4 linked regions of the Styela clava genome follow. The protein of the gene in region 1 purifies or fractionates together with the protein of each later gene. This does not show direct contact. Links are inferred from orthologs where the notes say so. Each region holds a gene or a part of one and is shown in the gene's direction. Other genes may lie near its edges. The genes, in order: TATA-box-binding protein-like, transcription initiation factor TFIID subunit 4-like, transcription initiation factor TFIID subunit 11-like and transcription initiation factor TFIID subunit 6-like.

The links.
Region 2: the proteins of TATA-box-binding protein-like (region 1) and transcription initiation factor TFIID subunit 4-like purify together in Drosophila melanogaster (affinity purification with western blotting; 7 studies listed by BioGRID). This does not show direct contact. The link is inferred for Styela clava from reciprocal best matches to the Drosophila melanogaster genes Tbp and Taf4.
Region 3: the proteins of TATA-box-binding protein-like (region 1) and transcription initiation factor TFIID subunit 11-like purify together in Drosophila melanogaster (affinity purification with western blotting; 3 studies listed by BioGRID, with this or other methods). This does not show direct contact. The link is inferred for Styela clava from reciprocal best matches to the Drosophila melanogaster genes Tbp and Taf11.
Region 4: the proteins of TATA-box-binding protein-like (region 1) and transcription initiation factor TFIID subunit 6-like purify together in Drosophila melanogaster (affinity purification with western blotting; 5 studies listed by BioGRID, with this or other methods). This does not show direct contact. The link is inferred for Styela clava from reciprocal best matches to the Drosophila melanogaster genes Tbp and Taf6.

The regions. Positions count from the first base shown.
Region 1 is NC_135253.1:12,137,293-12,145,381, reverse strand, and holds the start of TATA-box-binding protein-like, read left to right. Parts: upstream 1-5,041; 5' UTR 5,042-5,168; coding exon 5,169-5,291; intron 5,292-5,563; coding exon 5,564-5,702; intron 5,703-6,266; coding exon 6,267-6,394; intron 6,395-6,556; coding exon 6,557-6,684; intron 6,685-6,857; coding exon 6,858-6,945; intron 6,946-7,104; coding exon 7,105-7,364; intron 7,365-7,861; coding exon 7,862-7,956; intron 7,957-8,040; coding exon 8,041-8,089. UniProt on the Drosophila melanogaster protein: General transcription factor that functions at the core of the DNA-binding multiprotein factor TFIID.
Region 2 is NC_135262.1:5,622,964-5,630,821, reverse strand, and holds the start of transcription initiation factor TFIID subunit 4-like, read left to right. Parts: upstream 1-4,828; 5' UTR 4,829-4,863; coding exon 4,864-5,341; intron 5,342-6,025; coding exon 6,026-6,207; intron 6,208-6,801; coding exon 6,802-6,891; intron 6,892-7,524; coding exon 7,525-7,602; intron 7,603-7,858. Other genes in the region: protein LSM14 homolog B-like, read right to left, coding at 436-655, 1,297-1,472, 2,116-2,236. UniProt on the Drosophila melanogaster protein: TFIID is a multimeric protein complex that plays a central role in mediating promoter responses to various activators and repressors.
Region 3 is NC_135264.1:15,684,758-15,691,766, reverse strand, and holds the start of transcription initiation factor TFIID subunit 11-like, read left to right. Parts: upstream 1-3,921; 5' UTR 3,922-3,964; coding exon 3,965-4,082; intron 4,083-4,640; coding exon 4,641-4,743; intron 4,744-5,342; coding exon 5,343-5,441; intron 5,442-5,830; coding exon 5,831-5,987; intron 5,988-6,508; coding exon 6,509-6,664; 3' UTR 6,665-7,009. UniProt on the Drosophila melanogaster protein: The TFIID basal transcription factor complex plays a major role in the initiation of RNA polymerase II (Pol II)-dependent transcription.
Region 4 is NC_135256.1:4,776,843-4,784,123, reverse strand, and holds the start of transcription initiation factor TFIID subunit 6-like, read left to right. Parts: upstream 1-4,222; 5' UTR 4,223-4,253; coding exon 4,254-4,436; intron 4,437-5,259; coding exon 5,260-5,331; intron 5,332-5,893; coding exon 5,894-6,062; intron 6,063-6,707; coding exon 6,708-6,901; intron 6,902-7,281. UniProt on the Drosophila melanogaster protein: TFIID is a multimeric protein complex that plays a central role in mediating promoter responses to various activators and repressors.

The DNA.
Region 1 (8,089 bases):
ATACGGTACCACTGATACGGTAATCGGACACGTTTAGTGGACATAACGATCGTTTTGTTGTTATCTTGTTTTTTTTGTTGTTCAACACTTTTCGGACACCTAGTTGATCACTGGACCAATTGCTTTGAAATTTTTGGTGGTTAAAGATGAAATTTTTCTCCAGAAATCTATTACTTTTATTTATTTCAAATATTTCTGTTAGCTCCGTGACATTTGTTTATGTTTGCTAAGACGTCACCGAACGTTCTGTGGTCATCGGACGCCATTTTGTGTCCTACTGTACTGCTTCGCTTTATGTGAATATAATTTTGGACACGTTTAGTAGACATAACGATCGTTTCAATATTATGTTGTTATTGTTATTTGTCTCCATCATTTTTAAAAAATCGCCTTTCTCTTCGAATACTGGACCAATTGCTTTGAAATTTTCAGTGGTTGAAGATAAAATTTTTCTCCAGAAGGCTTTTATTTTTTTTTCGCTATGACGTCATTAAAATTATCGCCATTGGGTGGCGCTACGTGCCCATATATTTGAGCATAGCTCTCTTGTGTTGTTCTTTGACACGTTTTGAAGAAATCGCTTTTCTTTTTGATTACTAGACCAATTGCTTTGAAATTTTCAGTGGTTAAAGATAAAAATTTTCCTCAGAAGGCTATTACTCTTTTTTTGCTAAGACGCCATCAAAATTATTGCCATTAGGTGGCGCTACGTGTCCATATATTTGAGCACAGCTCTCTTGTTGTAGACTGTGATCTGACGGTACGGTAAACCGTACTGTACTGCGAACAGATGTGTCCATATATTTGGGCGCTGCTCTTTTGTTGTTTTTATAATTGCCTGAGCCGCTGAGCGCAGAATTTACCAGCATTGCTTTGATTTGTTTGTATGTGTCTTGATTCTCTGTATCACATTTTCACCAATGCCAAATCAATGTAGTTTTCACGGTTTTTGACGCTTCTCGTCACCTTATCACATTACAATACACCTACACACGTTGTCATTGTATCAGAATAAATTGGTCCTTATTAGCTTGAGTATTTCATAAGAATACAACAGCCCGTAAGTTTATTACATTCGCGTATTTTTTGAGTGTTTATTTCTGGCATCCTGACAACCAATTATTATGGAATTACTGGATTGAATTATTATGGAATTGCAACCACAGTCATTTTCATTACGCACATCCACCATATCGGGGTGCTTGGCCACTACCATTTCATTTATTCCCCCTCCACATTGACGTCATATGCGCTTTAAAATTTATTTGACGTCGTAATATCATAGTTAACCTAATAATATTGTGTAGGAGAGAGAGAGAGAGTTTTTCTTTCACAAATAATGTCACACTATAAATATTTGAAGCACAGAACAAAAAATAGTAATTCAATAATAATTGGTTGTCATTATATGTTAGAATCATTATACAAGTCCGGCTAGGTCACGAGTACCGTATATAGCCAGAGATTGCGTTGTTGACTAATTCAGACTAGATTTTATTTTCGGGGTACCACTGTTGTAGTAGGTTGTATTTTTTGTCGGTTTCCCTAAATAGTAGTATATCAAATATTTTATTTTTCATTATGTCTTCCGATAAGCTTCATTTTAGTAACAATAATCAAAAATCAGTGATAGGCCGCGAGCCGAGGCCCTGAAAAACGCCTAGAAAGTGAGTTTCGTAGCGCACATCAGGTAACTACCTGAAAATGATTTTAAAATGTTCCTTAAAAATTTAGTAACAAATATTGCCTTGTTCCCACTTCCAAAAGTTGCACGTTTTACGGAAAAGAAGCTTTTACTACAAGAAATATGTGCTACGATCTGTCCTATATTCTCTACATTATCGGCAAGGAACAATGACTTCTGCAAGACGTAACAATTGAATTAAACCAGCTGTTAGCGAGTGGATGAATATTAGGTATTACTGCTCGACCTTGCGCTGAGTTGGGCAGCCTTTCCATAGCCCTGTTTAGTTATTATTAGTTAAGTTATGCTAAGACGTTGTTGAAAAATGTATAAGTAAGTTATTAAACACTTGTAGATCCTTACCACGGATATGGGCCGTGAGACGAAACCATGAAAACGCCCAGAAAATGAGTTTCGTAGCGCACATCTGGTAACTAAATAAATTCTTCAGTTTTGTGTGAAAACGAACATAATGAACGCATTACAGCTTGTTCCACAATCCTGGTGCGAAATTGAATATAAGAGGTTCCCGGAAATTCAATAACCATAAGTTTACAACACATACATAAGAACTATACAATTCGAGAGCCCTACAGCACACTAACACAAATGTATTCCTGTAATGTTTTGCCTGACCAAAATCGGACTTCCTCAGTCAATCATAATTTATTAGGTAGATTACGAAAAATATGGCATACATGTAACCAACAACAAAAAATACTTTAATTGTGTGACAGGAGTCGGGAGTGACCTCGAAAGCAGCGACACCAACAACGCTGATTCACATTTGCGAATAAATTTTATGTAATAACCACAAGCAGTTTACAACAAGAACAGCATGAAAAGCTACATCCATTTTATAGAAGCTATCAAACCTATTTATTTTTTAGCAATGAAGTCACAAATTAACATCGTGAGCACGAAAACACAAATAAATCAGTTATTTCTCACTTAGAAATTTACCGCAAGTCAAGAAAATTAAACGAATGTACAATATGTACATAACATAGTGAACAGAAATATTACAATTCACAATTAATCTTTTTTAGTTTATGTGGTTATGTATTTGAAAAGGCAATAATATTTCTAGAAACAGGACTACGACACTAACAAATGTCCGAAAAAACAAACAAATGTATGAGTATGATACTTATTAAATCAACTGTAATATCTAATTCACTTTCTTCTGAATTGTTTTCGAAATCCACTATCTCAAAAATCGACTTTTCCTCTATAGGTGTACTGTGATTTCTGCAGTCAAAACAAAAACAAAAATCTGTGCAATTTAAGTTGATTTTGGCACACTTTCATAAATTATTTTGACTATTTTTCTTTGCAGTTTGCCAACTCAAGAACTGATTTGAGGGCCACATGCTTCTTCAGTGAATCATTGTTGGGTGGAGAGTATAATCCTTATGTTTGACAGTGTTAAATAGACGTGCCCTGGTATCATTTACATTCTTCATATCCTCTTCAAATTCCTCAGCTTTATTTATTAATGCCTCGTTAACCTCAAAAGATCTTCATAGTCGAGGGAAATAAATGAATTGAAAATCTCAATGAAGTCTCCAACATGAATTTGATGGGCAGTTCCAATTGCAGAAAAGTGCTAAAGTATTTCAATATGAATAGCCCATCTAAGCTGTTTGCAACTATTATGATTCTCATATACCTTTAAGCTTCAAGGCTTCTTGTTTAATCCATTTTATAGCACTGATAGCAGCAGGGATCAGAGCCTGCGTTAGGTCGGATTGGTGGAACATTGCCGTTTTCTTTTGTAGTACAGTATCTAAAATAAGGAAGAAAATAATATTTGGAGCAGCATGATTTTAAAAATACCCCTAAATACGGTACTAACTAATACCTTGAATATATAATGCATTTTATCTGATGTACTAAATGAGCGTATACCGGTATATGCTCATTGCATGTACTACAGTCCAGCAGTGTTTGCATACCATTACTAGACTATATCTACACTAAATTTTGATATATCACAGTCTGAAATGTCCTATGACAGTATGAGTATGGACTATAGACTATATTTTGAAACATCAACTGTTTGTCTACAACTTGATTTCTCACCTCTCAATCGTTTCCAATGCTACCTTTCTTTCCACTCCGGCATAACTTATCATTGCTTCCCAGGTTCTTGTCGACTCTATGAATTTAGATTTAGACCAACCGACATTAGGAAAATTGATTAATTTCTTCTCTTTCACACAACCGTGCATTACAGAAACAGCCATTCATTTCTATTTCCAAATATGCTGTGGCCTATATAGTAGTATAAGTCTGCTGAATAGTCAAAAAGAGTCATTAAATTAATCATAAACATTTCATGCAAGCCAGAAAATATCGTTGTTTGTGACATATTATTCTAGGTCTAGCCTTCCTTGGAGTTACCGCACCGTACCTATTTAACAACGTCTTATGAGCTAGTGCTCAACTGAAATTGCTTGTTATGGTAAGGATATACAAGTGTTTAATATCTTACCTATACTTTTCAACACCTCCTTAGAATAACTGAACTAATATTACCGGTAACTGAAAAAAACTATAGAAAGGCTACCGTACTCAACGCAAAAGCGAGCAGTTGTAGTACATCTGATATTCATCCGACCACTGGGTCTCCACCTACAGCTGACTAACTTGACTGTTACGTCGTGCAGAAGTCTGCGTTCATTGGCCCATGATACCGGAAAAGCAGAGAAAATAGGACAGATGGTAACACATATTTATTGTAGTAAAAGCGTCTTTTCTGTAAAACGTGCAACTTTTGGAAGTGGGAACAAGGCAATATTTGTTACTAAATTTCTAAGGAACATTTTAAAATCATTTTCAGGTAGTTACCTGATGTGCGCTACGAAACTGAAAGATAAATGGCCTCGGCTCGCGGCCTATGACGAAAAAACTGCGATAGACTGGGGCACAAGGCTATAATTTGCTTTCAGTTCCCATACACGGCACATGGCTAACTATTTTACTAAAAATAATGCTTTGAACCTGTAAACCACTTTAGCTCTCAAACACTATTAAGCTATCAATGCATGCTGACTGATTTTATTTTAAAATTAACACGTATTCAATTGTTTATTAAGTGTGCGCGTGTAGTATTTAGAAGCTTTGTGTGAAACAAAACTGTTGGAGGTAAAAAAATTTTGTTCAAAAAGTTTGTTTAGTCTCAATCTATACAGTACGCATTAGCTATCGAGAAATTTTGAATAATACATAAACTTATATATCATTTTAATTTTTACATATTATTTTTAATAAATTGGAATTTAATATCACTATGAAAAATAAAGGAAATGACGCAATAAAAAAGTTGAATGATATTATTTCACTCCGCTTGGGGCGCTGTCATTCATTTTTGACGTCGTCGCTGTTCGTATCTTCGTTGTTTGTGACTGTGTAGGTCACTACTCTTGCTTGAGTTCGAAAGGCGGTGTTTCCTAACTTCCTGAATTTTTACTGCCTTACGATGAATCCACAGCGAGTCATTCCAGGCACTATTCCACATGGAGGAATATTACAACAAAGGAGTGTTAGTGGACAACAACGGCCTTTGATTTCTCAGGCAAATCCACAATTATCACAAAATCAGGTAAGTGAATCACTGAATTTACATCCTTACCTGGTGAAGGTTTGCAATACCATTATTGTACTGCTTTGTCTACTTGCCAATGAACAATATCTATAAATTCATTATAACTATTGGTGAATACGTAGATATAGCCTAACTGCAGAACTGGTTGATATTTCAGTACCGTCTGTATTTAGGCTATTGTTCTATCAAGAATGGATATTCCAGGGCAAGTCACTGTCAGATTCAGTAATTGCTTACCAAATTAGACATGTATTTTGCTTTATATTCAGGCTGGAAGTTCTGGATTAAGTTTGCCAAATCCAAGTGGATATAACGCTGTGAGTCATCACCAACAGCCACCAAGAGGAATGTATGGAAGCCATCCAATGTATGGAGCTCCATCGCATCAACAAAATACACAACCTGGAGGTTTGTTAAGTCTAATATTGTGCTCCAACTGTACACTTCGTTTTTTCACATGCCTCCGATTTGATTGCTTTATATGCGATGGCTAATTGAATGATCAAATATCTGAATTTCAATGTATGATTGCTAATCCTAGTCGGCCATAAAGTGGCATAGTCTACTTACCTTGCAAAATGAACTGCAATAGGTTCCTTGCAATAATTTGCAATTTCCTTGCTTGTAATAGCATATGTCGTGTCTTGTTTTTAGGTGTACAGTTGTGTTTTATATCCCCAGATAATGTGGGACCCACAATACCATATTTTTGCTAGTGTAACCTTACCTTATGCTTCTATGCCTGGGTATTCATTTATTTTGATTTCACAAAGGCAGTATTGCTATACCAAAATTGAATTTTCACCATTTTTTGATGTATGAGTAATAAAATCCTCTCTCCTTGTATCAATTGGCCTTCACTATTTGTTCGTCTGTAATAGACCATGTTCCTGCAAGCTATTGTAAAACTAATTGTGGTATTTGTATTATAAGGCATCAAGGAGTAACGATTGATATCATTCCTTTCATTAGCATCCAATCAACACTTTGTTACTTTGGAAAGTCAAAGGTCACATCGTCAGAACGAAGATGAACGATCAGATGCTCAACAGCACAGAACATCAGTTGCAATGAGTCCAGCACCTTTATCCAATCTCCAAGTATGTCACATGTATGTTACAGAAAATCAGGTCTTTACTTACCATTACTTGTGTCTTATGATGAGTATATTTTTTTCTTCCATCAAACCCAATGGTATTATTTTGACAATAGGGCAGACCATATCGAAATGATTTGTTTTATATTTCCTTTATTTTGAACAGGTCCCCACTCCTAGCGCATTGAGTAATTATCATGCGAACACTCCTGGTTATCCCTTGAGTGTGAATGTAGCAACACCAATGACTCCTCGAACTCCTGCAGATTCTGGGGTCGGACCACCAATGTTACAGTAAGTATATGGTTTGATTGTTCTGTGTCATATGTTAAATTACTTTGGAAGAAATTCTGTGGAATATTTGATACATGTAGTAATGATGTAAAATATATTTCATGTGGACTTGCAAAAAAAAAAATAAAGACTCAAACATGATAGGTGATGTTATTATTTTTCTTACTTTTCAGAAATATTGTGTCAACTGTAAATCTAGGATGTAAGTTGGATCTCAAGAAAATTGCCTTACATGCTAGAAATGCTGAATATAACCCAAAGGTAAGGGTTCACTTATTTTATTTAGCCCAAAGCATCTTTGATACTGATATAAAACATGATTACCTGTAGTTCTTCTATTATGGTCGGTTGTTTAGCTATACAACTTACCTACCAGTAAGCTGACAAAAATTCCAAAATAATGTAAATATGTATTTTTAGCGATTTGCTGCAGTAATTATGCGAATTCGTGATCCGCGGACAACTGCTTTAATATTCAGTTCTGGCAAGATGGTGTGCACAGGAGCTAAAAGTGAAACTAATTCAAGATTAGCTGCCAGAAAATATGCGAGAGTTGTACAGAAACTGGGTTTTCCAGCAAAATTTTTAGATTTTCGAATACAAAACATGGTAGGAAGTGTTGATGTGAAGTTTCCAATTCGATTGGAAGGCCTTGTACTAACACACGGACAATTCTCAAGGTTGGTACTTAAATGAATCTGATGGAATTTTTCATTTTAGAGACCTATCTTTCTTTATATATGCATTGGAAATTGTAGATCTGCCAAGTTGTGAACGTTTGAAAATGGTTACAATCAGTAGCCTATACCAGGGCTACTCAACTATTTTTACCGAGAATCGGCATACAAAACTTCAAAAATATTTGGGCATCCTTATTAAACCCGCACTTCCTCGACCGACTAATGATTATTAGCTAATCAAGAATATTTATTATGGCATTATAGTTCTTTTCATATATATTTAAATCTATGAAAAGTGATATTATAAAAGGAAAACTTCAATAGTGGGGCTCATGATCCAAAATAAAGAATTCGTCGCGGTCCGAATCTTCGGACCGCCAGTTGAGTAGCACTGGCCTATACTTTCTATAATTTATGAAAACCTTCTAGGAATGTTACATAAGTTAACACATACATCGTGGAATCTGGGCACTTGAACATAGAATTTCATTTTACAGCTATGAGCCTGAACTCTTTCCTGGGCTGATCTACAGAATGGTGAAACCTCGCATTGTACTTCTAATCTTCGTATCTGGCAAAGTTGTACTCACTGGTGAGTGTTTCCCATACTACAAGTTATCTTTTAATCATATAACATATTCTAGGGATTATTTTAAAATTAAACTATTCTCTTCAGGTGCAAAAGTGAGATCAGAGATAGAGGAAGCTTTCAACAACATCTACCC
Region 2 (7,858 bases), on another chromosome or scaffold:
GGAGATAAAACTAAGTATTCTTTAGAATTAAAGTAAAAGAAAATCAAATTTTGATTACAAAAGTTTGGCATATGCAAGCCTTCTTTAATTATCAGTCCACTCAATGCTTTTGGGTTTCATCACATATCTTGCTTGACCTCGATTACTGCCACCAAAATTTGTGAGTATCACAAAAATTTAAAATTTCAGTTCCTATCTGTCGACTAGCGGAGAGAGTTTGAAAATATGACACAGACTCCGGCTTGAAAATGGAAACGTGCCATATTTCATAGACCTGGAGTAATGTGCTATCCTAATTCTAAATAGTAATAGCAGATCTTAAGAGTTTTTGTGCCCATAAATTCGCTCTGAGATGTGTCTACATTACACCTGAGCGCACATGTGCGACACCCTTGTGAGGAAGTTATCTTATTTAAAAAAATAAACAATGGTTACCTTGTAGGAGAGGCTTCTGTTGGGCAGCACCAGGCTGTGGATGTGCAGATCTAGGTAGGCCAACAGGTGGTGGTGGACCGGATGGCATATGCGGTGGTTGGTTTGGGGGTGGGACCATGTTGTACGGAGGCATTCCATATCCATACGGTGGCATGTATGGTGGCGGCATATGAGTTGGTGCATTAGGAGGCATTCCAGAATGCTGAGATGTCACAACAGACTGTAAGAGGAAACAAAGGTAAATGCAAAGAAAAGCTATAAATTATATATAGGATAGGCCTATATCATATATCTATTACGTAGACTTCAAGTCGAGGAACAATATATAATTACCATAAATTCACAAAAATAAGTCGTCATTTGATTGAAAATGTCATTACAGCAAAAAATTTGATTTGCTCTATTATACAAGACTAAAAAATAAATATATCTAGAAACAATAACTTTTGGGTGTAATTCCATGTGCTAAATTTTTATCTAGTGCAGTGACATGATAGTGGTGGTAATATACAATACACTTGGCTGGAAAGAGACAGGAAGTCAAAATTGTTTCATGTTAGAATTATAAGAACAGGGTCCAAAATAAATGAAATATATACTAAATTAGTTCTATTTGATATAATAAATGATTTAGGATAGTTTCACTTGAAAATTTGACATTTTCAAGTATTTGCCATCTGATGTTCAGACAAAAAATAAATTCCATTAAAGTTCTTGTACTATAAAAATAAAAAATTTGAAAAAGAACATTTCCAACTAATCTGCATTATCAAATTATATTATATCCAACTTGTTTCGAGTTAAAGACTCGTTCCACTCTGAAACTTGTATTTACTTTGAAGCAGATAAAATTCATTTCACCTGTACAATAGCAGGATCTTGTGGCAAAGAAGTCGTTGGTGGCTGCTGTGGCTTCGGAGGTTCACATACTGTCAGATCTTCTATGTCGCTTCCACGAAATATAATATATTCATATAAATCATCTCGTGGAGGGACTACACATTCGGTCTGCCGATCTTCTGTGCCAAATGATCGAACTGTAAATGGAATAAAATAAGTTTTTTCTTGGAAAATTGTGCCAAGCATTATATATCGGTAAAAACTCTAATAATAATACTCAATTAACTGACATATGCATAATACAAGATAATAAAAAATGGTGCAAAATTGGGAAACTATGATTATGCTTCATTTTAACTAAAATTGATGAATTGACTGATATATCACAGCATTAATATTCCTTTTATCTGGAATAGCGAATATAATAATTAGGCTTGTTTTTTCAAGTTAGAATGAGGCAGCTGGTAGCCGGAATGCAGGTATATTTTGCTTTGTATCTTCCATAAATTTAAGTGAAATCTGTGGTAAAGCCTATTACCACAATGGAAAGCATGGTATATTTCAGTTTTTGGCATCAGCATTTTGTCTGCAATACCTAGACCAGATTTTCAAGACTTCAAAAATATAATATTAATCATCCTTATTATCAATTCAATAATATAATGTATATTATTATGAAGTCAGGAAGTATAATATTTTGCAGTTTAATTTATACAATATATAAATTTTTGCTACATATAATCAATATTCCTCAAGTAAAATTTATAATAAAACTCGAATAAATAAATTGTGTAACGAACATCATAAATTGACAAATTTATAAGGAAACGTAAAATATACCTTTTGCCAGAGCAACTGTAGCATTTTCAGCATCAATCGTGAACAAAATTCCTTCATAACGGATTTTTGCCTTTGATATCAAACTAATCCTACTGCCGATATATGGAGTTCCACAACTCATATCGCCAAAAAACTAGGAGGTAAAAATTATGAAATATTTTTATAGTTTTTAAGAGTTACCAAACACATCTCAGTATCTGCACATACAGACATAAAAGATTTCCAAGAGAACGAGAGAGACAGGTTTTTATTTCCAAACTCTGTCATTATGGTACATTTTTTTATTTACAAATCCAGTCTACATATGTGCTGCAGTCCATTAAGAACTAACAAACTAAGTTTGAGATAAACAATGATTTCCCAATTTGCACTGCTGAACAGCAAATATCACATCCCACTACGGTATTTAAAAAGCAAATAACCAATGTGACACCACCTGACACGGATAGCCAAATAACTTCAGAGCTTGTTTTCATTAAAGCTGTATTACCATTGATACTATTCCGAGTATATTAAATCTCAGAGAAAAGTCCTGCCTCGTGTAAATTAACAAGAAAGAAACGATAACTAACAGTTTGATTTCCTACCAATTTGAAATAGCGACAACGGATAAGGCATGAAAACACTTCATGACCCGCGTTCAGATTGTATGACGCGTTGCTCTTAATCGCGCTCTAGTGTTCGTCTGAAAATCCATTTTTTCTTTTTTCTGTGATATAATGAAAAATGAAAATGAGAGAAAAAGAAAAAAGCAAAATTTGAGGACCGCGGTGTGAACCACTTGTTATATATGAAGGGGGTGTCAGCGGAGACTTGTTTTATAACGTAAATACACTGATATTTGTTTATTCGATTAAAAAGATTGTTGTATAACATAAATTTACATTTGCAATACAATAAAAATTAAAAAAAAAATTCATAATACAATGTTTTTAATTTTTCATATGACCGTACTTCATTTTAAAACACGATCCATTCCCTTGAATCGGAAAATGATGACGCATGCGCACTTCATTCTTGTTGTGAAGGCCGTGGAGTAGTGATGGCGCCCAACGGGTCGCTGCGCTTCATTCGCGCCCGAGGTTTCGAGGTGTGCATTTGGGAGTTGTGAGTTGGTGGAGCTAATGGCCCACTGAACGATCATATAGTTAGTTGCTAAATACATTTTTTTACTGATATGTTTATAGTTGTAAAGGGTGCTTGACCTGTTTCGAATATTATTGTCAGTCGTTTATACATCAACTTTCAGCATTTCTTTTAATAATCCTGTAACTGTGTAATGCAAAAGAAGTGTCTTGTGATATAGGATTCTTGACATGTTGTTGTTTGACAGAGCACAACAATCAAGTACCAAGGTACAAGATAATACAAGTATTGGGTAACATATCTGGGTGATAGTGACCTATTGCACGACCAGTATTTAATATCTGAATATACAGATAGGCATATGAAACTACAGAAATCAGGAAATATCTGTTCAATTATGACAGTACTGCAGTATGAAGAATACTTTTATGTAAGGGTGTAGCCTATCTAGTATAATGGTTATGTATAGCAGTGCAGTCATACCGATATGGTATTGTCTAAAACCACTTTTAGACTTGTTAATATTGTTAATTTTTCATATCATATTGCTCTATTGGGGTATTTTTAATTTGCCCGATCTGTCTGTCAAACCCCTCAGGTTTGGATCGAGCATAGCATGTGGTAGCATTGCACTTAACGGGTCTAGTATAGTTTAGTACCACAAGAACTTCCAGTGGGCGTAACATAACGAAATTTGCGTATGTTATTCCTAATCCCCACCTGACTATACCATCCAAAAATTACATCACTACGACGTCACAATCACATAATGGAGCTTGCCAAAGTACAGTTACAATCACCCGAAATGTCATCTGCGCCGCCCATAATGAACTCACTAACGCCCGCGATCTCTCTCATAGCGTGATCGTTGTGGCGAGAAAACATGATGGATAGCTTGCTTGATTTTGAGTGATCGTCTGCGCGTTCCGCATACTTTGTAGGGACTTTTAAGCCACTGTGACAGATTTTTTTGGTGACGCAGTCAGGCGGGGATTGGGAATGACATTCAAAAATTGTTGAGCCAGACCAACTAGAAGTGCATGTGGTACTAAGCTATACCAGACCCACACAAGTAATAGATAGGATAGAATTTATATATTTATCCCGGGGGAGAGGAAAGACGGCTTATCCATATGTCGAACCACGGCCTCTCGTCCGGTTACCATTCAAAGTCGGGTATGGAATTAGTTATATTGTTTGTTTTCGGAAGCATGGACCTGGTGGTGGAGGAAGCCGTAACCGACCAGCGGTTACGTGAACTACCCAACGACGGCGAGGAGTCCAGCAATCCTCTCGCACATAACCATCCCTGCATGGGATTCGAACCTGCGAACCCACGCAGAGTAATTAGAGGTGCGGTGGCTAGCGTATTCCTAACGCTTAGCTCGTTGAGCCACACCGCTGCGCCAAACACCGCATCGCTCAGTCATTTACTCATGTATATATCAAGTTTATTGCACCTTTACAATTCCACAAATAAATGCAACTTTTTTATTTCTCTCTGTGGGATTGCGATTAAATGACTAAGGTCTTTTTCGAGAGATTCTAATCCAGATCTCAATGCAAAGATTTATTTTAAGAACTTGCAATCGTAGTCAAAAATTAATTCTAAATATATTTTTTCAAGGTGATGTATAGATCTAAGCTGTTTTGTTCAATGCAATGAGGGTTAGCCCACCTGGATCGACGGACACAGTTCTCACATCTTCATCAAGTACCCCAAACACGTTGAACAGCTATAATTCTGGAATGAATAGTTTACCTCCATTTTCTGCAGCAAAAAACGGAGTACAGCAGGTCAGGACTGCTAGCCCGGTCACCTCTCAGCAGCAAGGGATGCTTAATGACTGGTCAACAGGTCTAAATGAGGGCTATGGGGCCCCAACCCCACAACAGCCGACCCTAGTTTTAAATTCACAGTTGCCTAAAGCATCCACACCTGTGGCAAAACAATTAACGACTCTGACCACAGTAAATAAAATTCCACAACCAGGAATGCAGCAATCAAATACTGGTTTGCAAAATAATTTATTGAATCCTACATCGAAGGCTCAAGTTTCTACGACTCAGCCAATGGTGACTGCGCGTCCTCAACAAGGTGGTGCAGTGCAACTAGCATCTGGGATAACTATTCCTCCAGGTTAATTTGATTTCTACTTTTTATCTAATTCCTTTTTCATACGCTATGCAGTCACAATGGTACATAATTATGTACTGGAAACTCTCATGGACTATTGTTATTGGGTCAAAGGTTCCTAAGTTTTTAATACGACAATGCAGTGGATGAAGAATTTATTTTTTTCAAACTTAAATAATAAAATTAAAAGTTTTAAAATATATTCAAACTTAACTATTACGATACATGAAGCTTGTTTTCATGCACATGTCCTTAGCTGTACTGTTTCACCACGATAATTTTCCATCATTATTCAAGCTTGAATATTACAGCGACAGAAAACCAGTCTAATACAAGTTGGATGTGGCAAAAGGGATCAAAACCCCCTGGAACAGGCTTAGCTATATATACTGAAAGTTAATATGTCCCCTTTTCTTATTTTTTCAATTAAGTGAACTGTATTTTACTATCAAGCATTACATTCCTATATAAAGAGTTATGTTCCACACAATATCATAAGCCCTCGAATGTGGAACTGATTGAAAGTTGTTGAGCATCGATACAGGGCTGTTAGTGAACATGCTGAGCCTATCTACACGCTGGTTATATGGTTTGATGGAGCTTTTTTCTTGATTTACTTCCTGTATGATGAATGATCTGTGCTTTTCGCTGATTTCCCATATTACTTTTGATTCCAACCGTATACAGGTATGGTTCTAGCAAGACATCAGAATGGACAGTTGCTGCTTGTGAGTAGTAATTCGTTGTCATCGTCATCTACTACAAATACATCCACAGTTCCTGTAACTCAGACCGCAACATCTGGGACCGTAACAACGTTGAAAAATTCGACAACAGCAGGTGTTGGGACATCATCACCTCAACCCGCAGTAAGTATTAAAGTTGATAACAAAGCAAAGATCAATTATAAGTGCCCAGATTTTAAATGAATACTGGAATTTTAGCAAAATTTCTGACATTTTTTTTTAGTAATTGTAGGTGTTTCACAGATGTCATATAACAGTATTTCTGTGAATTGGAAAAAAAACAGCAAAATTTTGAGTAGGACAAAATTTGAGCAAAATAGAAGTAATAGCCTCCTAGGGACTTATTCCACATTGAAGTACTGAAATATGATTTTATTAGGTCTATTAGTTGCAAGAAAACAACAATTACAATAGTTAGCAAAATGGTACATGTACTCTTTCTACCCAATAAGGGAATTTTGAAAACACCTGCCTCAAATTTTTTGTAAACATTTCTGTATGTTTTATTCTGCAAATGTTTTGCACAAATCAAAATCTTACCACGATTATGTAAATTTGCTTTTATCGTATGAAACACAATCGAGCAACTTTTTATTGCTAATTTCCATTCCATTCTTTTGACAATTTGTTTCATATCGTCTTCTTACAAAAAAAGTCAAAGCCAGGCTCAACAGAATAAAGGATGAAAAAATCTATTGATTCCATTTTTCTATTAAGATAACTGCAACAACAGCTGGTCAGGTGGTAGCAAGAACAGTGGTTCCAGTTACAAATTCAATTAACCTTAAAGCTGTTGCTGCTAAGCAAGTAAGTATGGAATGTATTTTTCACAAAGTTTTTCAAGTTATATTTATTTTATGCCCAGTATCAGTAACTCGTCTGTAATATCTTCCTTTCCATTAATACATTGTGAAATCATGGCATATCTTTGTTTATTAATAATAATAATGATTTTTCTTTTTTGATTGATTATATTAATAAGATTTATTAATTATTTGTGATTTTATGCCCAGATGATATAATATGTTGTCTAAAACCCAATAATTTACCATTCTGAAATAATATTTCCAAATATGGAATACCGAATACGTTCTGAAATGGGCCATGTCTACAGTGAAAATCACTCAGACTGTTAATAGAAGTTAAATTTGTTAATTAGCTCATCTGTGTCCTACCAAGTTCAAATGCATTCTAATACTCCATTTGTTTTCGGACACCCCTGATCTCACAGAATTCACCACTTATTGCATGAAACTTCAATTGTTTCTTAGCAATTTGCACTTAGAGTGGATTCTGCCATAATGAGTCTCTAATAGTTACCAATATACAGCATTATCTACTGTCTTTGTCTGCAAGACTTTGTTTTATATTTTTCTTATCATGTACTGATCATAAATATTTTGATCTGAATCTTTTTTTCACCAAAACATTACTTTTCAGACGGTTGCTGTCAGTAAAGTATCTACCACAAGTCCAGCGACAACACCACAGAATTCTCAATCTATAACGCTATCTCAGGTATAAGAAGTCTGATGTTCTTCACTGATTAACATCTTCTTGTAAATTCATTATCTACGAATGCAGCGTAACAAATAACAAGGCTAATATCATTTATTTGTAACTGTTGAAATCATATCTTTATACAACCAAATACTGTTCCCAATCAATTAAATCCGAAAGCCTTTGGCAGTGAATGAGGTGTTATTGTATTACTATGTGATTGCTCAAACGGGATAGACATAATAGCAATAGACTTCTTGCATAGCACCTTATC
Region 3 (7,009 bases), on another chromosome or scaffold:
CTATGAATTGAAAATATTTCAAGAAAAAGGGAATATTGACGTCAGTCTTCCAATGGTGACTGCATTATTAGATGATTCAAAAAATGTTGATGTTACAAGGATCCATGCTGATGATTCGGTCAACCATGTCATGTTGCTAGGTGACACAGGCTCTGGAAAAACAATATTTGCTTTGAATTATGCAATGATGGCTTCGAAGAAGAAGTTGGTGTTTTCCGCTGAGATTAAGATGGTCTATTATGTGGATGTTTCTAAGTTATACAGCAAACAAAGAACAACTCCTTTTGATCTTCTGTTTGTCCAACAGCTTGGATCGGAACTTCCTGAATACCTACATGATTCCGGATCAAACTGGTTGAAACTGAATTCATCAAATGTTTTGCTTGTATTGGATGGATTGGACCAAAATCAAACTCCATTAGAAGGTGATTATTCCAAAATTGGAGTGGACACTGTAGCAGATACCAACACAATTATCGCTAATGTATTATCCGGGCATATTTACCAAGGAATTAAATTATTATCAACATCACGCTGGCATGCATATTGGAAATTGCCCCCAAACATGAAAACCCCAAGAACCGTGGTCTTAAAAGGATATGATATAGGAAAAGTGCATCAACTTGTAGAAAATATATTTGGCTCCAAAAGTGAAAGCATGATTTTCGTCTGGAAAATATATGGGGCATTTGACCTTTTTTCAAACCCCTTGTTCATGAGATACATAACTGAGACTTATAAAAATCCACCAAAAGGTGCTGATGTGAATATCACAACTACGATGGTTTCAATTATGAGACTTTTCTCAGGATCTCGTCATAAAGGAAATGTCCAAAGTCTTGTGCCAAAAGGCATGAAGTTGGCTTTTCTTGGGATGATAGAGAATCGATTTGTTTTCACAGCAAGGTATATTGAGTCACTCAACCTGGATATGAGTGACATGCGTGGTCTTGTTGAGATGGATGCTGACACCCGATTTGTTGAGTATGTTGCCGACGATAATGATATGAGAATACGCTTTCTACACCCGCACATCCAAACGATACTTGCTTCCTTGTATGCTTGCAGTCTTGACTTGGAGGAATTCAAGAAGTTTATCGAGGATAATTACAAAAAATCTGGAATGGAAGTTGTTATAAAACATATTTTTATAATAATTCTCAACAAATCCACTGCAAAAAAAGCATCAAAATTTCTACCAGATAACTTGCATAGTAAGTCTGAATACCTGCTTGAATACTTGGGTAAATTATTGGATCAAAAAGTGATTTCGGATGAACTACTAGTTTCCATATTGCATGAATGTGGCCCAGATGTCTTCAAACAATTTACAACCAATGCAGAAGAGTTTGATTTCACAAAAACTTCTCTGCATCCTGGCGAACGAAATACATTGTTGTCCATCGCAAATAATGCTGTGTCATTAAAGTCCATTCGAATGACAACATTTGAAATTTGCTCGACAAATTTGCCACTCATGATATCACTACTCAGTTGTAATATTAGCATCCTGATTACTCTTCTTGAAATTATTGGTATGGATTGCAAAAATCTTCAAAAATTAGGTGAAGCTATAAAAAATGGCGTATTAACTGCTCCTACTATTCATTTAAAGAATACAACAATACTGGAACCAGCAGCATATTTCTTATTTGTCCAAGTGTTGCACCTTTGTGGATCTCGTTCTCTGATTTTGAATGACAATAACTTGAGTTCTGAAAAGATAGTAGAACTCAACAATGCATTTGTGGAATATAATGTGATTTTGGATGATTTACGAATTCATAGTCATTCTATAACAAATTTAGAAGAATTTGAGCTTCTTGCAGAGCTATTGAATAACACCAAAACCACAGTGTTTACAGCTATGGGTATATGTGCAACATATGATCGTTTGTCATCATTTTGCACTGCTCTACAGCAAAAGCAAGTTACATTTTCTTGCTTGAACAACAGAGGAATTGTGTCAATGTCCCCTACTGATGATGAGATCTTTGTGATGTCGAGGTTAGCTCAAAAAGTTCACAAATGCTTGTCGCTGGGCCCCCTGAAAATGAATAAATCACAAAAAAATATTTTGCTCAAAGAGATTGGAAAATTCTCAATAGAACGGTCAGCCCTTTCACTCGATCAAAACATCAAATTGTTTTCTATACTCTGGTCAAGAGAGAATAAGATAGATGCTAATGAACCTTTGGTCGAAGAAATTGGACCAGATGGTGGATTTATGTGGCTTTATGACTGCAAGCTCCTTGTGCCGCCTGGTGCTGTTAAAACAAAAACTACATTTTCTCTTTCGGTCAATAATTTCTTCGATGATTTCCCAGATGATTTACTTCCTATCACACCTGTCATTGAATGCAATCCTTCAATAACATTTGATACACCAGTTACTTTGACGATGAAAACAAATTTCTACAGTAAAAATAATCGGGAAATTCCAGTTAAAATTATGCACAAGGAAAAAGACGGGGAATGGACAATGATTAAAGATGTTAAGTTGAAAACCGAAAGTGAAATTGTGTTCGAAGTGGACCGTTTCTGCGATTTTTGCAATGGGAGTGAGAAGGACATATGTGAAAATGGAATATTTACTTTTATTAACGATCTCTACATGCAAAAACAGACAGCACAAATCATATCTGTTTTAACAAGAAATCGATCTGACCACGAAATCACAGAATCAGCTTTGAAAAAAAGAGGTTTTGTTGGAATTTTGCCTCTTGAGGAGCGATTAAACGTTGGTCTCAAATCGAAGATTGAAATAAAAATTGAATGTGATGATAATTCAGAGGTTCAACTTCCTAATATTCAGCCCCAAAACGAGATTATAGAAGTCACAAAGGATATTGTGAGACAGGGATTCTCTCATTTATGTTTTACCCCAAGTGATTCGATTCGTGACAAACGAGGACAAATCCGCATCAAGTATTCAATAATCTATTGCGAAAGAACCAGACATGTACCTGTTATAATAGTCTGGCCTATTGAAGAAAGCAAACCAGAAAATTTAAATGTGTACACTGAAATAAACACAGGATCACATGCATATGGAAATGTATTCAGAGATAATGCACATGCAGAAATACAAGAACATGGGTCAAGTCATTTTGTAATGGCAGGTGTAACACCACAATGAATCTTCCTTTCCATTGGTTCTAATGAGTTTTTCTACAAAATGTTGACCTTGAATAATTTTGTATAATGTTTGTTTTTAGAATAGAAAACTTCCATATTTTTTTTCAAGTGTTTTGTTTATATATATATTATAGTATGAAATTTATAGTTAGCGCATAGGTTTTCATTTATGTTGTATATGCTGTTATTGTAACTTTGTATATATCAAAAGCATCTGATTTTGCCAAGCAGTTATTTTGCCAGAAAAAGCTATTTGTTGAACACACTGATTTGTCTCTGACCTTTGAAATTTTTTTAATGCCATCATTGCAAAATTTTTGATGCTTATTTTGAGAGTTCGGGCTCACAAACTGGTTTACATGTTCATAGTCATGATTTTGATTTAATTATTCCCTGCTTGACGTTAAAAGTTCTTTTTTGATTTACTCCATATCTCTCGCTCCTAGTTTTTGTTTATAGCAACTGAACTAAATATCCTTGCTGACAAATTTACCATTGACTTATACATATTGATTTGAGTGGTTTTATATGCATTATTCTGTTAATTTTGTTTAGGTTAATTCTGTTAAGGTATGCAGGTCAGGTTATCACATCACTTTCTAATTTATAACTTGCACATTTTTTAAGGTTTTATAAAGAAAATAGAGATGGGTTTATGAAATATATTACCTAATGCTTGTTTATTGACACTATGCCATTTTCTAACCATGCAAATTCCGCTGTAAATTTTTATGCAAGTTGACTTACCACGCCTAGTTCATATATTGCATAGTACATGTATATATTTTTGTGTTTTTAGTTTATGAAATAAGCTTAGTGCTATAGTATGGCAGAATATGCCGAGCATGGGGATTTAAAATTAGACGATTCCGATGTTTCTGAAGCGAATACGTCAAAAAGAAGCAACACCTCTATGCATGAAGAAAGTTTTGATGAAAAACCAGGTAATTTACTTTATGCCTTCGCTCTGACAAGGTTTTAAACTGATGTTACCAGGTCAGGTAGAAATGTTGCTGTAGTATACTAATATTCTTTAGTTGATATTATTAGTATAATACTTATTTATACATACAATATTAAACAGTGGTTCTCAAACGGCGCAGCATGCCCCGCAAATAAAAATATTTGTTAGGTTTAATCTTGTCCGTCCTTAATTTGCATATTTACTTATCTTTATTATTGGAGATTGCAATTTCATCCACATTATTCAATGTGTTTTTTGAATAAAATATACTTTTGCCTCACTATCTGTTATTTGTAGCTTTTCTATTTTTGAGGTGAGGCGCAAGACTTGGAAAATTCTAAAATAGGCGCGGCTTGGAAAGTTTGAGAACCTCTGTTATTTATCACAAGTGATGAACAGGGACTTTTTTTAGTAAAGGAATGCTAGAAGCGGTTTTGCTTCTAACATTGTAGTCCCCTTCAACTCCTCTGTGGCCCCTTGCATAGGCCCCAGGCCCCCGGTTGGGAGCCGCTGCTTTAGGAGGTATCTTTATTTTCAGGTTCTTCAAAATTAAAAAGAAAGTTTGGTTCGCCATCAGGACCTCAAGAAAGCCCAAGCAAAGGAGACAAAAATACATCAATTTCATCGAAAGAATCACCAAAGTATGTCTAAAGAAGCTAGTTAAAAGAAATTTACTATCAAAATTTTTCAATTTCCCAGTAAAACATCTAGATGTGAATTTTTTCCCCTCTAAGTGTGGCTGAGCGGAATAATCTCATCTGAATTAATCCAATGCCGGTGCTGCCGCATGCCACTTTGTAATTTCTCAGGTTAGATGTCTAGACTAGACCTGATTTTTTTCCACTGAAAAGTGACTGAGCAGAATAATCCCATCTATTTAATCTAATACCGCTGCTGCCATATTTCACTTTCTAATTTCCCGGGTTAGATATCTAGACTTTATCTGAAATTTCCCATTGAAGCGTGAATGTGTGGAATATTCTCATCTAATTAAGCTAGTGCCGGTGCTGCCATATTTTATTTTCTAATTTCTCAGGCTAGATATCTGGACTAAACCCGAGTTTTTATCATTGAAGCGTGAATGAGCGGAATAATTTCATCTAATTGGGCTAATGCCGGTGCTGCTCTATTCCACTTCTCCAATTTCCAATTGGAGCGTGACTGGGCAGAAAAATCTCATGTTATTAATCCAATATCAGTTATATCATATTTTACTTTCAAATTTTTTATTTATTTTCAGAAAAGATCCTACGTCAGCACAACAGGCAACTGCTGATGAAATATTATCAGCGAAACGAAAAAAAGAAAAATCAGGAAGAGTTGAAAGAATGAAAATGCAGTAAGTTGGAAATTTAAATTTAGTTATATTTTACAGCAGCTCTGATGTTCTCATGAATTTTGTTTTGTAATGTTCTTCATGAATTCTTTATGAATTTTATAATGTTTTGAATTTTGAACCAACTCCATGGAAACATGCCAAACTACGATCATGCCATTTCTCCTGTATATGCTTTGTATTATATTTTAACGAACTGATTGGATTATTTGGTTGCATTAAGATGGTCTTTTGTAACAGTTGTATTTACATTAGGTTAAATGTGTTATGCGTTCACAAACAGTGAATTTATATAGATAATAGATGACACTCAAGTTGGTGATCTGTAAAGAATCTGCTCATCAGACTTCCCAACATGCTCAAATCTTTTCTTTAAATTTGTTTATTTTTAGGCGACTTGTGACAGCTTTCTCTGAAGACCAATTAAACAGATATGAAATGTACAGACGTTCATCGTTTCCAAAAGCTTCAATAAAACGATTAATGCAATCCATCGCTGGATGCACAGTATCACAAAATGTGGTGATAGGAGTTGCTGGAGTGTCCAAAGTAAGCTCGTCTTTATCTTTGTATTGGAATAGTTCAGGGCATAGATTCTCAAAGTGCGGAAAAACCTTGGTGCTCCGCAAGCCATTCATTTACTTATTAAAATACTGACTTGGCTAATTTTGTAACTGTCCAAAGAATAACGGCATTAATAAAATTTGACAACAGTAGCGTTGAAATGTGGAAATAAGGTGGTAATTTAAATATGACATTATCTATAAGTTCCAATAGAATAGATAATAGTTTCTAAAAAATTCATGGTGGGGCACTGTAAATAAATATTCAGGCCCTTGACAGGCTCCATAACACCAACAGTTCAAGAAACCCAAGTTTAGGATTAAATCTTTCACAAAAAATCTCATGGATTCGAATTTCTTAACAAATTATTTGAGAAAATTACTTTGAAGTCCAATATTTCTCTTGCTCTCATTACTGGAAATAATTGGCCAACTGTCAAGTCAGTTTTCCATTCACTAGAATCTGATACAATTTTTCTGATTTTGTTGTTTCCTATATTTTATCAGGTTTATGTCGGTGAAATCATGGAGATAGCACTTGATGTTATGGAGCAACAAGGGGAAACGCCTCCAGTGAAACCAAAACATATTCGTGAAGCAATCAGAAAATTAAAAGCCAGAAGAACTTTCCCGTTTTCTAAACTGAAGACTAACCCATTATGATGCCTGTATTTGAATTGTTTTGCCGAAGGCCGAATCCTACCAAGCCTGTCCTGAATGGCTTTTCTGGTTAAGAGATGGGTACATTGCTGTCAATTTCCTATCAGAATCATGAAAAAATGGACTTTTGTGATGCTTCATGACATAATCTTTCAGAATCAGAACTGTTTATTTTGGAATTATAGGGTGTCCATGAGGTCTTAATTTTTTTTAATTGCAAAGGAAATTTATCAATGCACTATATTGTTTTGGCCCTCACAGATGTATCAAATGTAGGACACCCTGTATATTGGGAATATTGTTAAGAAATATTACACCGTGTTTCTCAATTTTGTAGTCGCTGTGGTA
Region 4 (7,281 bases), on another chromosome or scaffold:
TATGACGCAGTGCTTCTAATTTTAAGGTTCGAATGACTTTAAGTTGAAATACGTAAACTATTAACCAAAAGCAGCAGAATGACTCAATATCCTATAAGTCTACTGCATTTGCAGTAGTAAACAAGTAAAGCAACACGCATAGTATTCATGAATTTTGTATTTAGTTGAAGAAGACGAACCAACGTAACTGATAACTGGGCTATACTGTTGAAAATAGGTATAATTCGTAAAAAATACAAATAACTCATCTGAGATTCCAATGAAACCCCAAATCTAATACTCTGGTAACCCTCACTAAGTTTCCCTCTTTCCTGCAAATATATTGAAATTTAGGTTCGTCGTTTCAAATTTCGCACAAGGCGGTCGTAAATATAGATTTTGTGTAACTATATAGATTTCGTGTAACTGCAGTCGTAACAATAGTGCTAGGCTAGAACAATAAAAATTAACAAAAATTAAAAAAAAGAACAATTAGCATACCTGATATCCCAGCAATAACAACAAATCTTATACTTAAATAAACTTGAGTTTTTTTTACTATGTAGTTGTGCCCTTGTTCTTTACTGCAATCCTATTCTTACTACTTTACCACTGTATTTTTGTTTATAACGGACACTAAAAACTACAGATGCATACAATAATTGGAAAACTCATAGAATTTGAAACACCTTTTTTTCTCACTTTCCTCACTCTTTGCGTAACTAATATCTCGCAATCGTTCGTCTGGAATGTTCTTTAAAAGCAACAACATGATGAAACTCCGCACCCCAAACCAAGCATAAAAAAAACTCGGATAAAGCGGAAATTTGGAAATTTAGGTTAGTCTTCCAAAATCTCGCACACGGGGGTTACTAGACGTAACTGAAGATTTTGAAATTGCAAGGATATCACATCAGCACATTAAAAATAGAATTGTTTAAATGCAAACTCTGGGATTTAAATGGAAATGTTCTTTAAAAGTAACAACATGATGAAACTTCCGCACCGCACACGAAGGATATACAAAACGCAAATTAAGCGAAAGTCTAGAAACACATCGTAAAATTCAGGAAAATACGACAGGGAAATGAAGGAAACTTGAAACACCAAACATTTGCAAATTCAGTTTCGTCATTTTAAATATCGCACAAGGTCGTAACTGAAGATTTTGATATTGCAGGCTATCACATTTGCGCCAATAAAAATGGACGAAAATTTGAAAAAGATGAAAATAACTAATCAGATATCCAAACGATAACAACAAACCTAATACTCAGATAAACTTGAGTTCTGTTTTTATGTAAATCTTTTCTTAAATCACATTCTCACTACGTTAACACTGTATTTTTGTGCAAACTGGGTTGTTTTCACCGGACCATAAAAACTACTGAGGTATACAATAATTGGAAGACTCCTAAAATTTGAAACACCTTTGCTTCTATCACTTTCCTCTGTCCTTGCGTGACTGATATTTTGCAATCGTTCGCCTGGAAATGTTCTTTGAAATAACAACAGGATGAAATCTTCGCACCGCACACCAGAGATACAAAACGCGAAAACGGAAATCTGGAAACACATCGTGAAATTCAGGAAGACAACATGCACAATACGACAGGAAATTCGAAGAAACTGGAAACACCAAACACTTGCAAATTTAGGTTCGTCTTCTTAATTAAATCTCGTCAAATGAGGCTACTGGTCGTAACTGGAGTTTTTAAAATCGCAAGGCTATCACATTTGCGTTGATAAAAAATAAACAAAAATTTGGATGGAAATACATTAGGAGCTAAAATTTGTGCATGTGTGTGACATAAGTAAATTCGGTTCAAAATATGTAAATAATGTATTAACGAAATAATAGTATATGACATGAAATTGTTAACAGTATACTCGCTAGTTATTAACGAAACCTAGCAGTTGACACAGATGAGGCTTTCAACGGCTTTTTATTAGGAAATCAACGCAGGAAATGTATAGTTGACGCATTTCATCAATTCGCAAGCGTTGCACTGGTTAATCGATTTGTTCTTCAGCGAGTAACAGGAAGTGCTGTTGCAATTTTCAGGTTTTCGAATGAATTGATAAAAATCAATTACACAAAAAAGGAAGAACGAAAAAAGTAGAACAATAATATAACCGAACTTTAATATGGCAATACTTACATTTTGTATTCGTTACTTTTCTTACTCATAAAACTGTTTTTCTGAAAGAGATAAGAGATAACTGCGTTAAGGTTTGCCTTACACGGGGCTACGAGTATTCTTGCATCCATCGTTGTGATTTTAATAACAACTTGAAATTGTGTAATATATAATTCAACACTTCTGTTAAATGATTTGTGAATAAAATTACGTTTACTAACTTTAGTGCTTGATACATTGCACAAAAAGATTGATTTTAGCACATTATATTTCCTCCGTAGGCTAATCCCTCTTGAGCATTTTTACAACTTTCTATGTAGGGTTAGACGAAGGAACGGCTTGTAAATAATATAAAATTCACAATCATTAACACATATATATCGATTTTATTTCGTTTATGATTTTATTTTCCTTTTTTTATTATTTTTGTCTTTTTATTAGCACGCTTTTTACAAATTTATTCAAAAATTGAAACAATAATTCTTAAGTAGATACGAATGCTTTCTCAGCGTGTCCTAATGGTGATTAAAGATATAAAAATATATTCTGTTGGCGAGTTAGGGTGGAATTACATTGCCGGAAAGATGGCCAGTGCAACTGTAATATTACTTGAACTTAAAATTGCCTAAAATTCCTACTTCATCAGATCAGTTTTGCCAGTTTGCCAGGTTCGTACCATGTCACGGTTACTCGCTCCCAACGATTGTAACATGCCCAAATAAATAAGGATGTTTTCCCAACCTTTGACCCCAGAAAGATTCTTTCTATTATTTACCATTTCAAGATTTTCAATGCCTATTCTGAAAGTGTTTCTGCTGGTTGTCGCTTGCTAACTGGCTTGTATATTGAAAATAAATATTCACGTGCACAGCTCACAGATACTAATAATTAATTTTAGTCTAGTCCATCGTAGCGTTTTTAAAACCAAATTCCTTTGTTGCAATTAGACTAAAGCTTTTCGGAAGACAGAATGACGATCAACTTTTTTGATTTACAACTGATTTTTGGAAAAACAACTAAAAACTGACAAATAACACGCAAAACGATGCAATGTTTACAACAATGCTCAAATATCTGTCTGAACGACAGAAGTGTCGGAGCGTCTTTACAGATTGCAATTTTGACGTCATTGTTGGCTTATTGTTGATTGGTCATTGTTACGAAAATAAACAGGGAAAACGATGCTCGTGCAAACATCCATAGAGGGCGCAGCAGCCGTAATTAGCAGGTTCGGAGGTTAGAGGTCAGATAATCACTTTATATTTTTTGAGTGAATTTGAAGCGTTTTTAGAACCCGGTGTTTTAGTTTAATTAAAATAAAGCGGCGATGGGGAAACTTACAGGCCTATACGATAGGACAGGTTAACAAAAAATTAGTATTCAGTACACAAGTAACACAAGTTGAAAGTCTGAAAGCATGAACAAACGCTACGGCCATGACGCGGATCCAACATACCGGTAACTTTCCTGCTTCCAGGTTCGGTACTTGTATCCTTTACAGGTGTTTGAATTTGGATAAGGACAAATATGAATTAAAGTAAGCTGTTCAATGGCGTTAAAACGGTATCGTGAGCAGGTTATCAATATCGGTACCGTACTCAACTGGCGGTCCGAATCCGGCCCTTTCGACAATTTGGACCGTGTCTGCTTGTATATTTTGGCAGCATAAGCATTGTTTGGTAGTTTTAGAGGATTTGATACAATTTAAATACTGGTACATAGGTAGCCTAGCTATAGTCTACAGTTTGTTGTACTGGTACCAATATGCGACATTTGTGTATATACAGATATATTTACGAGCCATCATTAGACGTTCGTTTATTTAATGAAAAAAATATTCTGTAATGTCCGGACCCCAATAATTCTGAAGTTTTCTAAACGGACCTTTGGGGAAAATAGTTGAGTAGTCCTGGCGTACCGTAACATTCCAACATCATTGCCATACTGCTGTACTGCCATAGCAGAATGGCCCAGGTTTACGAAGAAAAATGTTTTAGCAATATACGTACAGACATACCTGCATACCGGTACTAGCATCACAGTATTAGCGTATAGACTAACTGCTGAACTGTATATTATCCACTGTTATTTTTAACAGCATATTACTGTATTAGAGTATTTACATTATTTTAAATGGCTGATACAAGTAAACGAAGTGTGAAAAAAGAAAGCAAAGTTCGACCTGACAGATTTTCTGCGTTTTCATCAGAATCTGTCAAAACCGTTAGCGAATCAGCTGGTGTCGCTCGATTAACTGAAGACACTTTGTCATGCTTGGCAGAAGAGGCAACTTATAGATTGAAAGAAATTATACAAGTTAGTGATTACAATTCTTCTCATATTAATTTCATTGTTCAGCGTTTTCTAATTTTTAACTAAAACACTTTGAGAAAAATTACCATTAGATAGATTTTCATTATCACTTTGTTTTGACTACTTATAAAATTAGGTCTATGAATTTTTTATATTTTAAATTTAGTCTTTTCCATGATTTCCTTCCGTGAAGTTTTTTCCTATCTATTTGTCTATAATGGAGTTCTCTATATGAATCAATATTTAGCCAGTCTCTGTTTCCTTCACCCATGAAGCATGACCTAACTTTGAGAGAATCTTCTGGCATTCACAATTAACATCTTATGAAATTGAATTTAAACCAGATGACCAATCTCAGTATGACACTGTTCTCAGATTCCAAGAATAGCTCCCACATATCAATTATATCAGTGAGTGCAAACCATTCCTTAACGAGACAGTTTTTTTCTCCATATCGGCATAAATCGGCAAACCAACTTTGTGAAATAAACTAAAAGGTGGCGCAATCTAAAAATGTCACAATTCGATTCCCCGGAAAAACAAATAATCTGGTTCACAAAAGGAATAAAAACTTTACTGTAGCATTCGAGAGTTTTTAGCAGAAAAAATGGATTTTTGGTGATGTTTGATTATTATCGGGACAAGCATTGCACAATCTGATACATACACTCCTGTGCCATACCCCCTCGTTTCAGAGACATATAGAGTGTTTGTTTCATTGAACCAAATGTTAGGAAATCTTGGGATTGTAGAACTGTGCCCTACTGAATTTTAAGATACTGTGCTAAGCAATGTTCACTAATATTTACTTTTACTTCATTCATAGGAATCATTGAAATTTTCAACACACAGAAAATCAAAGATTCTGACGTGTAGAGATGTTGATTCAGCTTTGAGGGTATGCTTAAGTCGTTAGTATCTTGAGTTAATAAGTTAGAAATACATACTTTCAAGTTGTTCAAAAAATCCATGTCCAAAATAATTTCCAAGTAATCAGGAAGATAGGTTCGCCTTATGTGCTCACTTACATTCGTATATAAAAAGTTAAGGCTTCAAGCGTGTTCGCAAATATTATCTGTGGGAGGATGAAATAACATTGAAAACTTATTTTAAGTGTTATTATGAAAAGTGTAACACAAAACTTTGTATCCTCCCTTTTTATTAGCTCAAACCTTAATAAATAAAAATAAATGCAAGGGTTTGAAGGTGTTTCGCAATAGTTTAGTTCTAACAGTCAAACCAAAAATTAACATAACATACTAAAATTTAAACTGAAGCAAGTGTAGCTTTGAATTGGAACAGAGTCCCGGAAATGGCCCATGGTTTATACAAAAAAATCTATTTCTGAAAAATGTGGCAGATGCTACTTTTGTTTTACTCCGACAGATTGTTTATATGCCAGAATAACTGCGTTCATACTTCAATTGGAACAAAGACTCTCACATATTTTTTATTTTCAGTCAAAAAACATTGAACCATTATACGGGTTCGTCGCAGAAGATTATATACCATTCAGATTTGCCAGTGGGGGCGGTAGAGAGCTACATTTTGTCGAGGACAAAGAAATTGATCTTACCGAACTGATTAATAACCCTCTGCCACGAGTTCCATATGATATCGCCGTGAAAGGTAAATGTCTTCCTGCATGGACACTAGAAAACGTTTTGCTAAATTGTTGTTATTTGGACTAGAAATCTTCTTGATTAACTTTTAAATTACTTGGGGGAGGTGGAGGTGTTTCCTAGAATGCTATTGCATATATGCTTTCAAATTTTTTCTCAAGTCGTTGGTACTTGTTGTTTTACTACTAATTTTGACAAATTTATCCATCACATTGATTTTCTACAGATGGATTTTTATGCACTGGTGTAATATATTATGACCATCCAAACTATATTTGTGATAATTCTCTTCAAACAAGGCTTAGACAAACACCCACTATTACATAGGAAGTTGTGATTTTTTGTAGAACTGGAATATTTTAGTTTGGTTATTACTTTCTATCAATTTTTACAACTGCCAGCACTTTTAATAGCACAGTCCTGCACTTCACAGTACTGGTTTTGGTGAGATATTTGCATACTCTGATAGTGATGGGAATGATATTTCATGGTAATAGATATATTTTTGAGTTTCATTATTTAATATTCACTGCCCACAGGACCCTGGACAAAAACCAATCATCCTTTGATACATAAAGAGCTACAATTTATTGTAGAGTGAAATATTTTCAGTTTGATTATTTTCACTCATCACCATTCCCTGTATTTACAGCTCACTGGCTAGCAATCGATGGAGTCCAACCAAGCATACCAGAGAACCCAGCTCCAGAGCAAACCACTTTACTAGATGTCTTAAATAAAACAGAATCTAAACCTCTACCTGGTTCTGCTCCTTTGAAAAGTTCCATCGTCCCTGCAAATAATCCCTTGAAGAATGCAACACATGAAACTAGTACTAAGGACAAGGTTAGACTATACTTTTTTCAGAGTTACTTGAAACTTGAAACATCAAAACTTTTGCGGTGGCAGCATATGGGCAATGTAGAATATTATACTATTTCAAAAGACTTAAATCAAATGCAGAATACTGAATCGTATTCTATTTTTATAGTTATTTAAATAGTGGAAATTCCCCACCCCACCCCGCTTGATTAAAATAGTCCAAGACTAAACATTTTACAGGGTTGATTCATAAGGGTCGTAAAAATTTCTGTGATGGTAAAAAAAATATAAGATCTTTTTTATTATAATTTTTTACTGTTGTTGAAGAGAAACTTTTACAAAATAAAGTGGTAGATTCACTTATGGTTTCAATTGATAAAACTTTTACACTAATACAGTGGTTC